3 linked regions of the Arabidopsis thaliana genome follow. The protein of the gene in region 1 interacts with the protein of each later gene in a pairwise test. Each region holds a gene or a part of one and is shown in the gene's direction. Other genes may lie near its edges. The genes, in order: BZO2H3, RR18 and bZIP2.

The links.
Region 2: the proteins of BZO2H3 (region 1) and RR18 come close enough for resonance energy transfer, tested with the Arabidopsis thaliana proteins (one study listed by BioGRID).
Region 3: the proteins of BZO2H3 (region 1) and bZIP2 interact in binary tests that used the Arabidopsis thaliana proteins (3 or more experiments, as listed by UniProt).

Annotation. Positions count from the first base shown.
Region 1 is NC_003076.8:10,795,911-10,799,968, reverse strand, and holds BZO2H3 (bZIP transcription factor family protein), read left to right. Parts: upstream 1-1,663; 5' UTR 1,664-1,821; coding exon 1,822-2,088; intron 2,089-2,327; coding exon 2,328-2,418; intron 2,419-2,521; coding exon 2,522-2,633; intron 2,634-2,697; coding exon 2,698-2,773; coding exon of another isoform or gene 2,774-2,855; coding exon 2,856-2,981; coding exon of another isoform or gene 2,982-3,048; coding exon 3,049-3,321; 3' UTR 3,322-3,512; downstream 3,513-4,058. UniProt on the Arabidopsis thaliana protein: Transcription factor involved in controlling responses to starvation. BZIP2-BZIP63-KIN10 complex binds to the ETFQO promoter to up-regulate its transcription.
Region 2 is NC_003076.8:23,501,036-23,505,936, reverse strand, and holds RR18 (response regulator 18), read left to right. Parts: upstream 1-1,767; 5' UTR 1,768-1,786; coding exon 1,787-1,916; intron 1,917-2,005; coding exon 2,006-2,155; intron 2,156-2,222; coding exon 2,223-2,594; intron 2,595-2,723; coding exon 2,724-2,800; intron 2,801-2,896; coding exon 2,897-4,009; intron 4,010-4,086; coding exon 4,087-4,152; 3' UTR 4,153-4,332; downstream 4,333-4,901. Other genes in the region: AT5G58090 (O-Glycosyl hydrolases family 17 protein), read left to right, coding at 1-381; TIL (temperature-induced lipocalin), read left to right, coding at 4,781-4,901. UniProt on the Arabidopsis thaliana protein: Transcriptional activator that binds specifically to the DNA sequence 5'-[AG]GATT-3'. Functions as a response regulator involved in His-to-Asp phosphorelay signal transduction system.
Region 3 is NC_003071.7:7,897,490-7,901,057, reverse strand, and holds bZIP2 (basic leucine-zipper 2), read left to right. Parts: upstream 1-1,815; 5' UTR 1,816-2,254; coding exon 2,255-2,770; 3' UTR 2,771-3,046; downstream 3,047-3,568. UniProt on the Arabidopsis thaliana protein: Transcription factor that binds to specific DNA sequences in target gene promoters. BZIP2-BZIP63-KIN10 complex binds to the ETFQO promoter to up-regulate its transcription.

The DNA of each region.
Region 1 (4,058 bases):
TAAACCTTAAACATGACACCAGGTCAAAATAAGAATGATTTAGAAATTGATTCATAACCTAACCTACATAATAATTCTTCCTAAAATAAGACAAAATGTCACACGAAATTATACAGTTTGAGATTTTTCTAAACCACTTTAACATAGAAAAGTCTACAAAATTCTACTAATGGTGTAATAGAGACGTACTTTGATAAAACGTAAATCATTCTTTCAAATAGAGTTGAACTACTGATATTCTCAAAGTCAAACCACCAACATCCACTTGGTTTGCAAGTGTTATGTTTCTCTCTCACTAGATATTCTCTTGATAAAAGGTTTTGCACAAGTGTACTAATATATGCAAAAATAAAGGACCCACCAAAATATGCAACTTGAATTTGGATAGATTCTTATCCAAAAATCAGAAGTTTAGTACATTTCTCTAATCTAACTTCACTTACAAAACTATATATTATGTTCCTCTCGGATCTCTCCTTTCCTTTGTAAAATGCAAATGGGAATATTAAATGGACCCATGAAATGAAGTTACGTTACAAAACCGACGACAACTATAATATTTATTATTTATATATTCTTGTGATGCAGATCAAAATTTAAATTGACTAAAATACCCCTTGCCACGTCAGTCTGACTTGGATTTGCCCCAAAAAGCGTTGAAAAAAATATTATTAAATCCAATAAGGCATAAACAAATATTATTACATGTATATTTTAAATATTACTTTAAGCTCCTCATATTCTTCTGTTTTTATCAATTATACACCAACATTTGTTGTTTATAAATATGAACCCCTAATCGTCCCCTTTCAAACGTGGAATATAAGATCGATATATATTACACATTTGAGTAAACAATTAGGCAATGAAGTTTGTGAAGGAGACTGCATTTCTGATAATCTTAATAATTTTTGTTTTCTTAATAATATTATTTATTTTTTTTATAAAATGGTCTGAAAAATTACAATCATTACATCGTTTCTAACGGTTTTTTCTTTCTTAAAGAATCGTTTTTAAATTTAAAATTTTCGATTATTTTTGATTTTTACCGCTAATCTTGGAATTTATCTTGAGTGCTCAAGAGTGAGTAAAATCCCTTACCTCGAAAAATCCCTTTATGGTAGAGGACGTTGGTGATAGTAACAATTTTTTCTCGTAGCTCGGTCATTGTGTCGGCCATTGTGAGATCGAAGAAAGATATTGAGATAAGGTGGGTTAAGCAGTAGATTCTCCGTTTTCCATTGTCCACTAGGATACAATTTTCTTTTTTGACTCTGATCAGTTTTTTCTATTTTAATTTGTGTATCTTAATATTATTATTCGTTGTAACTGTAGGCGAATCTCACCTTTTTTAAAAACATGTTTTAAGAAAGAAAAAAAAAAGTTTGACACTTTAATTATTTTTTCCATTCTATATATCTTATAAACTAAAAATTGTTCTAAAAAGTAGAAAAATTAGTATAACTAAAACCATATTTCCAGATACTTTTTTCCTTTTATTTATTATTAGTTCTGTTGTTAATAAAAATCGTTATAATTTTTTGTATTATGACCTGTCGTTTTTTAAGATACTACAAGAAAACAGTGACCTAACAGAATAAATCAAAAGTTTTTGCTGTAAATAGAAATACACGACTCTTGTCGGGGCCATTAGGGTAATAATCAGACAATTAAATATCTAACAAAACAACAAAACTTGAAAAGAACATATTATTAAAATGCAAGACTGCCCAATCGGATAAGAAGAAACTGTTTTGACAATTTGAAACCAAAAAAAAATAAATAAAACTAAAGAAACAAACAAATTACAAAAGAGAAAAGATGGAAAAAGTTTTCTCCGACGAAGAAATCTCCGGTAACCATCACTGGTCGGTTAATGGAATGACGTCGTTGAATCGCAGTGCTTCCGAATGGGCATTCAATCGTTTCATACAAGAATCCTCCGCCGCTGCAGACGACGGAGAATCTACGACGGCGTGTGGTGTTTCCGTCTCCTCTCCTCCTAATGTTCCTGTAGATTCAGAGGAATACAGAGCATTTCTCAAGAGTAAACTTAATCTTGCTTGTGCTGCTGTCGCCATGAAAAGGGTACTCACTACTCTGCTCAAGTTTGAGTTTTTTTTTTTTTCATAGAAAAAGAAAAACAAAACCTTTTTATCTGTTAGTTTGATGAGTTCACTTGAAGCTAAGAAACTAATCTTGTTTTGTTATGTTTGAGTGTTAAGATCTTATTGGACCTTTTGTATATGATTTGCCATTATCTTCCTTGAGATTATAATTTGCATTAGTTAATTGATTTTGTGGTGTTAATATTGAAAATTTGATAGGGAACTTTCATCAAACCTCAGGATACTTCTGGTAGATCTGACAATGGTGGAGCCAATGAATCAGAACAAGCCTCTCTTGCTTCTTCCAAAGGTTTTACAATACATCTATGATAAGCCTTTTAAGATGTTATTGATAGTTGTTGTGTTTGTTTTCAAGATTTCTTGTAAATGCTAATGGACCAATCTGTATGCAGCTACACCAATGATGAGCAGTGCTATAACAAGTGGATCTGAGCTCTCTGGTGATGAAGAAGAAGCTGATGGTGAAACTAATATGAACCCTACTAATGTTAAACGCGTTAAAAGGTAACAAATTTACATCCTTTCTTGGACTTGAACATGAACATGAACGTGAATTTGTTTGTTATAGGATGCTCTCTAATAGAGAATCAGCTAGACGGTCCAGAAGAAGAAAGCAAGCACACTTGAGTGAGCTAGAGACACAAGTATGTTACTCTCGCAGCGTTCTTATTCTTTCTCCTTTAACTTTGTTTAGCTCACTTGTGCGACAATCTCCATTTCGTGTAGGTTTCACAGCTTCGTGTAGAGAATTCAAAACTCATGAAGGGTCTCACTGATGTAACTCAAACATTCAATGATGCATCTGTAGAAAACAGAGTTTTAAAAGCCAATATTGAGACACTACGAGCAAAGGTAAAATACTTTCTTTTATCTCTCTGTCTACCAAAACTCGCTATTGAAGCATGTTTGTTTTTGGCAGGTGAAAATGGCTGAAGAGACAGTGAAGAGACTCACTGGCTTTAACCCAATGTTCCACAATATGCCTCAGATTGTTTCAACTGTCTCTCTTCCTTCAGAGACATCAAATTCTCCAGACACTACAAGCAGCCAAGTGACTACACCAGAGATCATTAGCTCGGGGAACAAAGGCAAGGCCTTGATAGGGTGCAAGATGAACAGAACAGCTTCGATGCGTAGAGTTGAGAGCTTGGAACATCTGCAGAAACGTATTCGAAGCGTTGGGGATCAGTAGCTGTTAAAGAAGAATCTTGATTTGTAACATTAATCTTAAGACATATGTTAAGACAAAATGTTGTATGTTTTTGTAAAGAATTGTTTTTTCAGATTATTTAAATTTTTTTTTGTCTTCTTCGTTGATTGTTTGTGTTGAACTTCTAATTTTCATTGTACATGTCTTTTGTTAAATTTACAAAGTTTTTCTAATTTCTGTTAAGAATTACAAGTTTTATCAATTTCACCTAGTGAAACTATTGAAATGGTGATGAGGCAACGATGCAAACGTATAATTTTGGTTATTGAAACTAGAAATTACGAGTTTAATCCCAAATTTCGGCTCTTAGAATCGGGTTTCTATCAATAATTTTTGTTTAAATCCGAATTAGATTATAAATATATATATAAATAAAATAACTATAATTAAACCTTATTAATTTATATTTTTTTTCAAAGTAACCTTTAAATTATGATTTAAGATATTCAATTATGTTCGTTTTTTCGTATCGATTATTTTGATTTGGTTCAGATCGGATAAAACATCTCTAATAAGAATTAATATGCTCTTTTGTAGAATTAATATTCATGAAATATTTAGAAATTTTGTATATTATATAAAATTTAGGAGTACTTTTGACGTATTTTTTTTTGTCGACAATTTCTTTGATTACTAACCCAAAAGGGCAAATTATAAGAGAAGTATAGGTGAAATTTGTGGATCCAAAACCCCATGATATAAGTCCAAACTAAACCCAT
Region 2 (4,901 bases), about 13 Mb from region 1:
GCCAAAGGGGTACGCTACCTAGAGAGGAAGTGGTGTGTGATGAAGCCAAATGTGAGGTTGGATGATCCGCAGGTAGCTCCAGCCGTGAGCTACGCGTGTAGCCTTGGGGACTGTACTAGTCTTGGGGTTGGGACGTCCTGTGCTAATCTTGACGGGAAACAAAACATATCGTATGCATTCAACAGTTATTATCAGATACAGGATCAGCTTGATACAGCTTGTAAGTTCCCAAACATATCAGAGGTGACCAAGACAGATCCATCTACTGGAACTTGCAGATTTCCGATTATGATAGAACCTTACTACGGTGGGGCAGCCCGGGAACACGGGTTCTTTTTCCCACTACTGATGGTGGCAGCCATCGCAGTCTCTATTTTTTGATGGTTTCTTCTTGTCAATTTGTAATTCTGTGTGATGGCTTGAACTATTTTTTTTTCTTCTTGAATTCTGATTTCTCTTCCTTAGACCAAGTGATTATTAGAGCTGTTTTCTGGGACCAAACTGACCTTAAAACAATGCCATATTGCCATGTTCAATAAATCAGGCCCAAATGAGCATTTGAATTTGTACTATAGTAGTTGGGAAAGTCTATTGCGCTCTCTTTCTCCCTGGAGCTCTGTTTCATAAATGCTGGAGAGACTGTCCTTTTGTTGTTTTAGACATCTATAGTACTACAGATTTGTACAACTTCCAATTCTTCATATGAAGTTTCCCTTTCTCCTTGCTCTCGTTCTTCTAGATAGGAAACTAGGAGACGATTATCTAATTTCTTAATCTTTGAGTCCAATTGGCACTATGCACCACTCCAAAAAATAGTCTTTGATCTGATTTCCACTACCACAGAGACTTATTTCCAGTTTCCTTCCATTTGAAGAAATCGAATGGTAATAATAATCTGAGTATAAGAAGATCACAGAGTTGTCGATTTCTTCAAATGGAAGGAAACTGGAAAATAAGTCTCTGTGGTAGTGGAAATCAGATCAAAGACTATTTTTTGGAGTGGTGCATAGTTCCAAGGGTTTGGTGATGGATAAAGTTAAGACTGTTGGAGACTCATCAGCAACAATCATCTGTGACGCAGTTTTCACATTGGTTGTGATTTCAGATAGAATAATCAAGAAAATGGCAGAGTAATCACAAGTATGACGATTGACTAAGAATGTGGAGTAATAAGAGTCGACGGATTCGAATGCCTGAATGTGATCAGGTCAGTCCATTGCATTTGTCGAATTCTCTTTTTTTTTGGAACTGAGACCATACGCGTTATGTCAAAAATCAGATTTTTTTTGTTTTGTTTTGGTGCATTCACTTAGAAGACTAAAAAGGAAAAACATTTCTATGGAAAATAGGAAATGCATATATATAAGGAAAGCCAGGAAAGGTTGAAACGTTGGGTTTGAACGTTTATTTGCGAGTAAGGAAACAAAATGGGGACATTTACATTCACTTTACGAAAAGTTTGTCTTTTGTGCTCAGATAAGGCAAGATTCAACCAACAAAAGAGAAATTAGAGGAACATGTGACTCTCTCCACGTCCTCATTTATGGAAATATGAGCAGAAACAGAAGGAAATTTCTAATTATTTGGAGAATTAAGGGCCAGATTAACCGCGTAATCACTCTCTCTTTTGGGCCACTCGTCTTTATCTTTTTACATTTGTCTATAGGAGGACTATGGTCTTCTTCTAGTCCCAAACTTGAGGTTTTAAGAATAAAACAGATCAGATTTTAGTCTATGTACTATATTCCTTTGAAGAGAGGAGACTTGCAAACGTATTGCATCAAATATGGAGTTTGGAAGCACTGAAGATGGAAGGCATGACAAGTTTCCTGTAGGAATGAGGGTTCTTGCTGTGGATGACAATCCAACCTGCCTTCGGAAACTCGAAGAGTTGCTGCTTCGTTGCAAGTATCATGGTACTACATATTCTTTGCTTTTGTTTTTTTTTACCTGTCTGCTTCGGAATTGGGGTGCATGGTCAATGATGTTTGATTGATTACGCCAGTGACAAAGACAATGGAGTCGAGGAAAGCTCTGGAAATGCTGAGAGAAAACAGCAACATGTTTGATCTGGTGATAAGCGATGTAGAGATGCCAGACACGGATGGTTTTAAGTTGCTTGAAATTGGTCTTGAAATGGACCTTCCTGTCATCAGTACGTCTCCTACCATTGTTTTTCATATCAACTCTAGCCCTTATTGTAACCTGCTTCATTGTCTCAGTGTTGTCAGCTCATAGCGACTATGACAGCGTTATGAAAGGTATTATACATGGCGCTTGCGATTATCTGGTCAAGCCTGTTGGACTCAAGGAGCTTCAGAATATATGGCATCATGTTGTGAAGAAGAACATTAAATCTTACGCAAAACTGCTCCCACCTTCTGAATCTGATTCCGTCCCAAGCGCCAGCAGGAAACGGAAAGACAAAGTCAATGACAGTGGTGATGAAGATGACAGTGACAGAGAAGAGGATGATGGTGAGGGGAGTGAACAGGATGGTGACGGGTCAGGTACGCGGAAGAAGCCACGTGTTGTTTGGTCTCAGGAGCTTCACCAGAAGTTTGTCAGTGCCGTTCAGCAATTGGGCCTCGACAGTGAGTTTCCCCATAGACCTCTTTAAACCTTTCCTTATGTGTGATGTCCACTCTTGTTTCTCCTATAGAGTTATTTTGATGCTTTCATGTGTGGGATCCTCTTTTCATTTCTCCTTGTGTTCATCACAGAGGCTGTTCCCAAAAAAATACTTGATCTCATGAGTATAGAAGGTCTCACTAGGGAAAACGTAGCCAGTCATTTGCAGGTACTAATTCCCCATTCTCTCTTGCATTTTTCCCCTTCTTTCGCAAATATAATCTTGGATGGTTAGACTTGTTTTATTCTCTGGTTTTGGTTGCAGAAGTACAGACTGTACTTGAAAAAGATAGACGAAGGTCAGCAGCAAAATATGACCCCAGATGCATTTGGAACAAGAGATTCATCTTACTTTCAGATGGCTCAACTTGATGGACTTAGAGATTTTACTGCCGCAAGACAAATTCCAAGCTCAGGACTCTTATCGCGTTCCCATCTCACCAAACTCCAACCCCCTATGTATTCATCGATAAATCTCCAAGGAATGAACTCCTCCAGCTTCATCCAACAGGGGCATCACCAGAACTCAAGCAATTCAGCTAATCCGTTTGGAACATATCACAGTACTCTGTCACCAAGAATCCAGAACGTGAATCTGTTTCAGCGAACTTCATCTCCACTAGAACCCCTCCAGTTTCCTAGAAGCAAGTCATACATTGGAGATTTTAAAGGCTTAGGGGACAGAGCTATTGGCGGTAGCTTCCTAGATACTTGTATGCCATTTGGTAGCTCTAGCACCTCTTTACCAAGTGCTTCCACCAATCCTCTAATGTTGCAAGCAAACTATACACAACCCCTGCATATAGCCTCAGATGGAATTCAGCCTTGCATCGAGGGAACTCCGTCCAACTCTGCCTCCCCAAACATCAGTTTCCAAGGCTTATCTAGATTTCCTGGTCATAGCTGGCAAGGGAATTTGAACACAACCAGATTCCCACCGAGTTCCTTACCACTAAATCTTGCTTTCTTGCCGGATCAAGTGACATGTGCAGGGAACAATCTGGGAGATTGTACTTCTTTGGTTTCTGCAGAGAATCCTGGTGGAGAGATGCAGTGTGATCCTCAATTACTTGGCGGCTTCATGCAGAACGTGAATCCGTTAGGCGGACAGAAATGGGAGCAACAGAACTGCACCATGCTGAACAATCCATTCGGTAACATTGAGTATCCTCTACCCGCAGATAACATGGTTTTCAGAGACAACAATTCAACCAGAAGCAAAGGCTTGGATGAGTCACTGATGAACCCAATAGACAACAGTCAAGAGTATGTTGGAAAAGCTACTACAATGCTGGATCCAGAGATGAAGTCGGGAAAGCCAGAGAATGACAACCAGCATGATGTATTCGATGACATAATGAATGAGATGATGAAACAGGTAACGCGGTTGTTTTCTTGATTGGATTAAAAGCTTTTGTAGTTTGTAGAAAATGAAAGTGAATGTGTTTGTTGCAGGAGGAGAATAACGGAATGGTGCCAGTGGCTACTAGATTTGGCTTTGATTCATTTCCTCCACCTTAGCTAGTCATCTCTTTCTCTACCAGTTGCATTAAGTTTCTCCACTTGAGACCATTTTCATGTGATTTTTTTAAATTTCTTCCCACATTGTTTCCTCCGACTGTCAATAGATCATAGTACACCAACCTGTTTCATACTCTCTTTTATGAATTGGAATTGAAAGCGAGCCTGTTACAAAAATTTATTTTATAAAGTTTCTGAATAAGTGTTGTTATTCAAAACCAATATACGAATAGTAATGGGCCTAATTGAGATCGTTGGTTTACATATGGAGCTATTTTGAAGTGTCAACAAGAAGAGATATTTAGATGTCGATAGGATAATTTGGTGGGGCCTAGAAACGGCTAGAGGAAGTCAAATCAAAATGTGACTGTATGGCCCATTGTATTGTATCCTTCTTCCCACAGAACAAGGAAGACATTTGTGTCCTCCACCTTTATTCACATTTGTAACTGCTAGACGCTACTAGAACCCTTGCCCTACACGCTTTCCACGTGGCATCCTCTCGTCCCAGCGAAATCTCCTTGATATTATTTTTTTATTTCCTTATAAAGAACAGAATCTCTTCTTATCCTTTTACCTCAAAGAAAACATCGAAATCTTAGAGAAGAAGAAAAGAAAAAGAAGAGAAATGACAGAGAAGAAAGAGATGGAAGTGGTGAAAGGGCTCAACGTGGAGAGATACATGGGCCGTTGGTACGAGATTGCTTCTTTCCCATCAAGGTTTCAGCCAAAGAACGGCGTCGACACTC
Region 3 (3,568 bases), on another chromosome or scaffold:
AAAATATGATCAATGATATAATTTAAAATATATATATAACGTATGATAAAACGATCAACTTACATTGTTAAGTGTTTCTAGAGCATTTTAAAAACATATTCTATAATTTCATATATAACATTTTGTTCATAAAACTTAGGTAAATTTGATCTCGAATCTTTAAAACAACCAAAATATTGTCCACAAAAATTCGGTGTAATATTGAAGGTTGTTGTTGTTCATGTTCTTGATTACTTTTCAATTCTCTACATTTTTACATATTGTTTCATTTAGAAAAGGAGTTGGTTGAATTGTGGTTTATCACTTAATTTTTATTATTTATATGTAATTTATTTTTAATATAAGGTTTTATTAATTAATTTGCCTGTAGTATTGTTTTAATGTATGTTTATAGTTATTCATCAAACAATTGTGATCAATATAAAGATTATCCGACCGTTAGACTCGTCACAGGAAATTTTTCTGAAGTTGAATTTCAAAAGCTCAAACAATTAAAACGCGTAATGATAAGTGTTGTAAAATGTTATAGAATTAAATTTAAAATTGTAAACAAAAAGATATACAAATAAAGAAATGATGTTGATGATGATAGTGCTTTATTTTCTTATATTTTTTGTGTGTCTTTACCAATAAGAAAAGAATAATCCATTTTTATAGATATGAAAATTTAGTAAATCAATTGAAATTATTACAAATGATGTAGTGTAGTTATTTTGAAAATGGAGTAAACATTATCTGTAGAATATGAATTAATGATACGTGTTACATGTATTAGACATTCATTGGATTTGTAACAATTTATAAATAATTAGAAACATACTTCAGATTTATCTCTTATAACTATATTATAACTTTTTCTAACAATTTGTGACAGTTTTCGTTTCATTTTAGTTCTTACCTTCAGTAAGATCAGCTTTTATTTTGTGTTAAACAAATTCAACAACTCGTACAAACACTTTATGAGACTTTTCAATAATTAAGACGAACAACAATGATCTAGTACACACAAATTAGATACTAACATTTTTAGTTCGAAATCATTTACTAAATTCAAAATTTTGATATCAATCACATGGCTCGAAATTACTGTATTAGATTGAAATATCAGAGCACATATCAATCCCACAAATCCTCATGAATTTACTTAATCCACATACTTTAAATTTTATTTTTAAATATTCTATATTTTCTTAAAATGTTGGCTGAAATAATGTTTTACAAAATTTTATTTCGTTGGAAAATTATTAAATTTATCACCTTCCTATTTGATATCACTTTTAATTCACCAATTGTATGTATCAAAATATTCAAAGCCATTGACTGAATTAATGGCAACAAAAATTATCAAAGATTTTCTGTAATTCCTACATTGACTACATGCAATTTTCAAGACATTGACTATTTTCAATAGTTTTCACTCTTTTTAATCTTGATATCTGGTCAACTTTTACCACCTACCTATTTGTCTATCCTACTACATATCATTAATCACACCATTAAACCACACAAATCTATACTTACCATTAATATTTTTCTTTTGAATACCAAAAAAACAATCAAAAAGTAAAGTGTCATTACCAAAAAAATAAAAAAGCAACATCCACCTACTGACCTACATATTTTTTTTAATAAAATTATAATGAATCATTTTGTTAGTAAAAAATAAAAATGATAAAACAATGGGCGCGTAAACGATTCCAGCTTTCCCCACCATCCATTATTTCCCAAAAAATCAAAATAAATTAAAAAGACACAAGTGGATGCTTGAGATTTGGTTTCTATATAATCCATAACACACCCTTCATCAAAAACCTCTTTCCCATTCACTCATCTTCTCTTCCTTATCTCCTTAAAAATCTTCTGCTGTTTTCTTTTTTATATTTAGAGCTCCTCTGTTTCTTCTCCAATAACCAAAAAAAAAAAAAAACTCTTCCTCTGTTTGTTTTCAAGTTCTGACATCATAAATTCAGACCGAGAAAACATAAAAATTTGAGTCTTTTGATGATCGGAAACTGATGACTCCCGTTCTCTGCGAAATCCTGCTCTCTGGGCTCACGGTCAAATCTGCTCTCTGCCGTAGAACCCATCTCGTTCAATCTTTCTCCGTCGTCTTCCTCTACTGGTTTTACAACGTTTCATGAATTGCTACAAACTCTAATTAATTTTTTCAGACAGATCATAAAAAAAAACCAAACATAAAACATAAAACTCTGTCCTTTTTTTGTCTTCTTGTAACTTTTCTTGTTAAAAATCAATGGCGTCATCTAGCAGCACATACCGGAGCTCAAGCTCTTCCGACGGTGGTAATAATAACCCGTCGGACTCCGTCGTCACCGTCGACGAACGAAAACGTAAAAGAATGTTATCGAACAGAGAATCTGCACGTAGGTCAAGGATGCGTAAACAGAAACACGTTGATGATCTAACGGCTCAGATCAATCAGCTATCAAACGACAACCGTCAGATCTTGAACAGCCTCACCGTAACATCTCAGCTTTACATGAAGATCCAAGCCGAGAACTCTGTTCTCACCGCTCAGATGGAGGAGCTTAGCACCAGACTCCAATCTCTCAACGAGATCGTTGATCTTGTTCAATCCAACGGTGCAGGATTTGGTGTTGACCAGATCGACGGCTGTGGTTTTGATGATCGTACGGTTGGGATCGACGGATATTACGATGATATGAATATGATGAGTAATGTTAATCATTGGGGTGGTTCGGTTTACACTAACCAACCCATTATGGCTAATGATATCAATATGTATTGATTAATAAAATTAATTAAAATAATTAGATGCCCCTTTTTTGTCTTTTTATTTTAAAATTTAGCCCATTTTGGTGTTTTTGGGTTGGTGTGATGATGTAATTATAGTACATGCATCTTTGATTGGTTGGAAGGATAAATATAAACTTTATATATATATTGGGGCATATATATATGAGTTGTACTTTGTCATGTATTGGTGTGTGTTTTGTTATAATTATATGATTATATATGTTTATGTTATCATGATTTTGTCTTTCACCTTAATATTCCAATTGTTTATTCGGATAATGGTTTGTTTATGCTTCGAGAAAAGCAACTTTTTGGATTGGTAATTTTTAAGAATGAAAAAAATCACATTTTGGATTGATGATTATATATATATATATATATAAGCTGCATTTACAATTAAGTTTTGGTTTTTCTGCAAATAACAATAAAAAGGAACTTCTAGATAACATGTCAAATCTACCAAGTCAAATTTCACCTGTAATATAATTCGTTGTCAGCAACGTAAGTGCTAAATAATGATCAATTATATAACAAATAGAGTTCCTTGCGACTAGGAGAAATTTATCATAATGTATGTGAAAAATAAAAGATCTTCAAACATATATATGATGCTTATATGTTTAGAGGGTTTTGTTGCAAGAACCCATCATTTTAATATAAGATTATGGTTTTTTTAGTTAAAACACAGATGAGCAAATCTTAGGTGTATGATAATTATTTAGAAATGTATTAAAACCTTCGTCAGTCAAACATTTTTGCTTAAAAGTATCATTCATACAAAAGGACATAA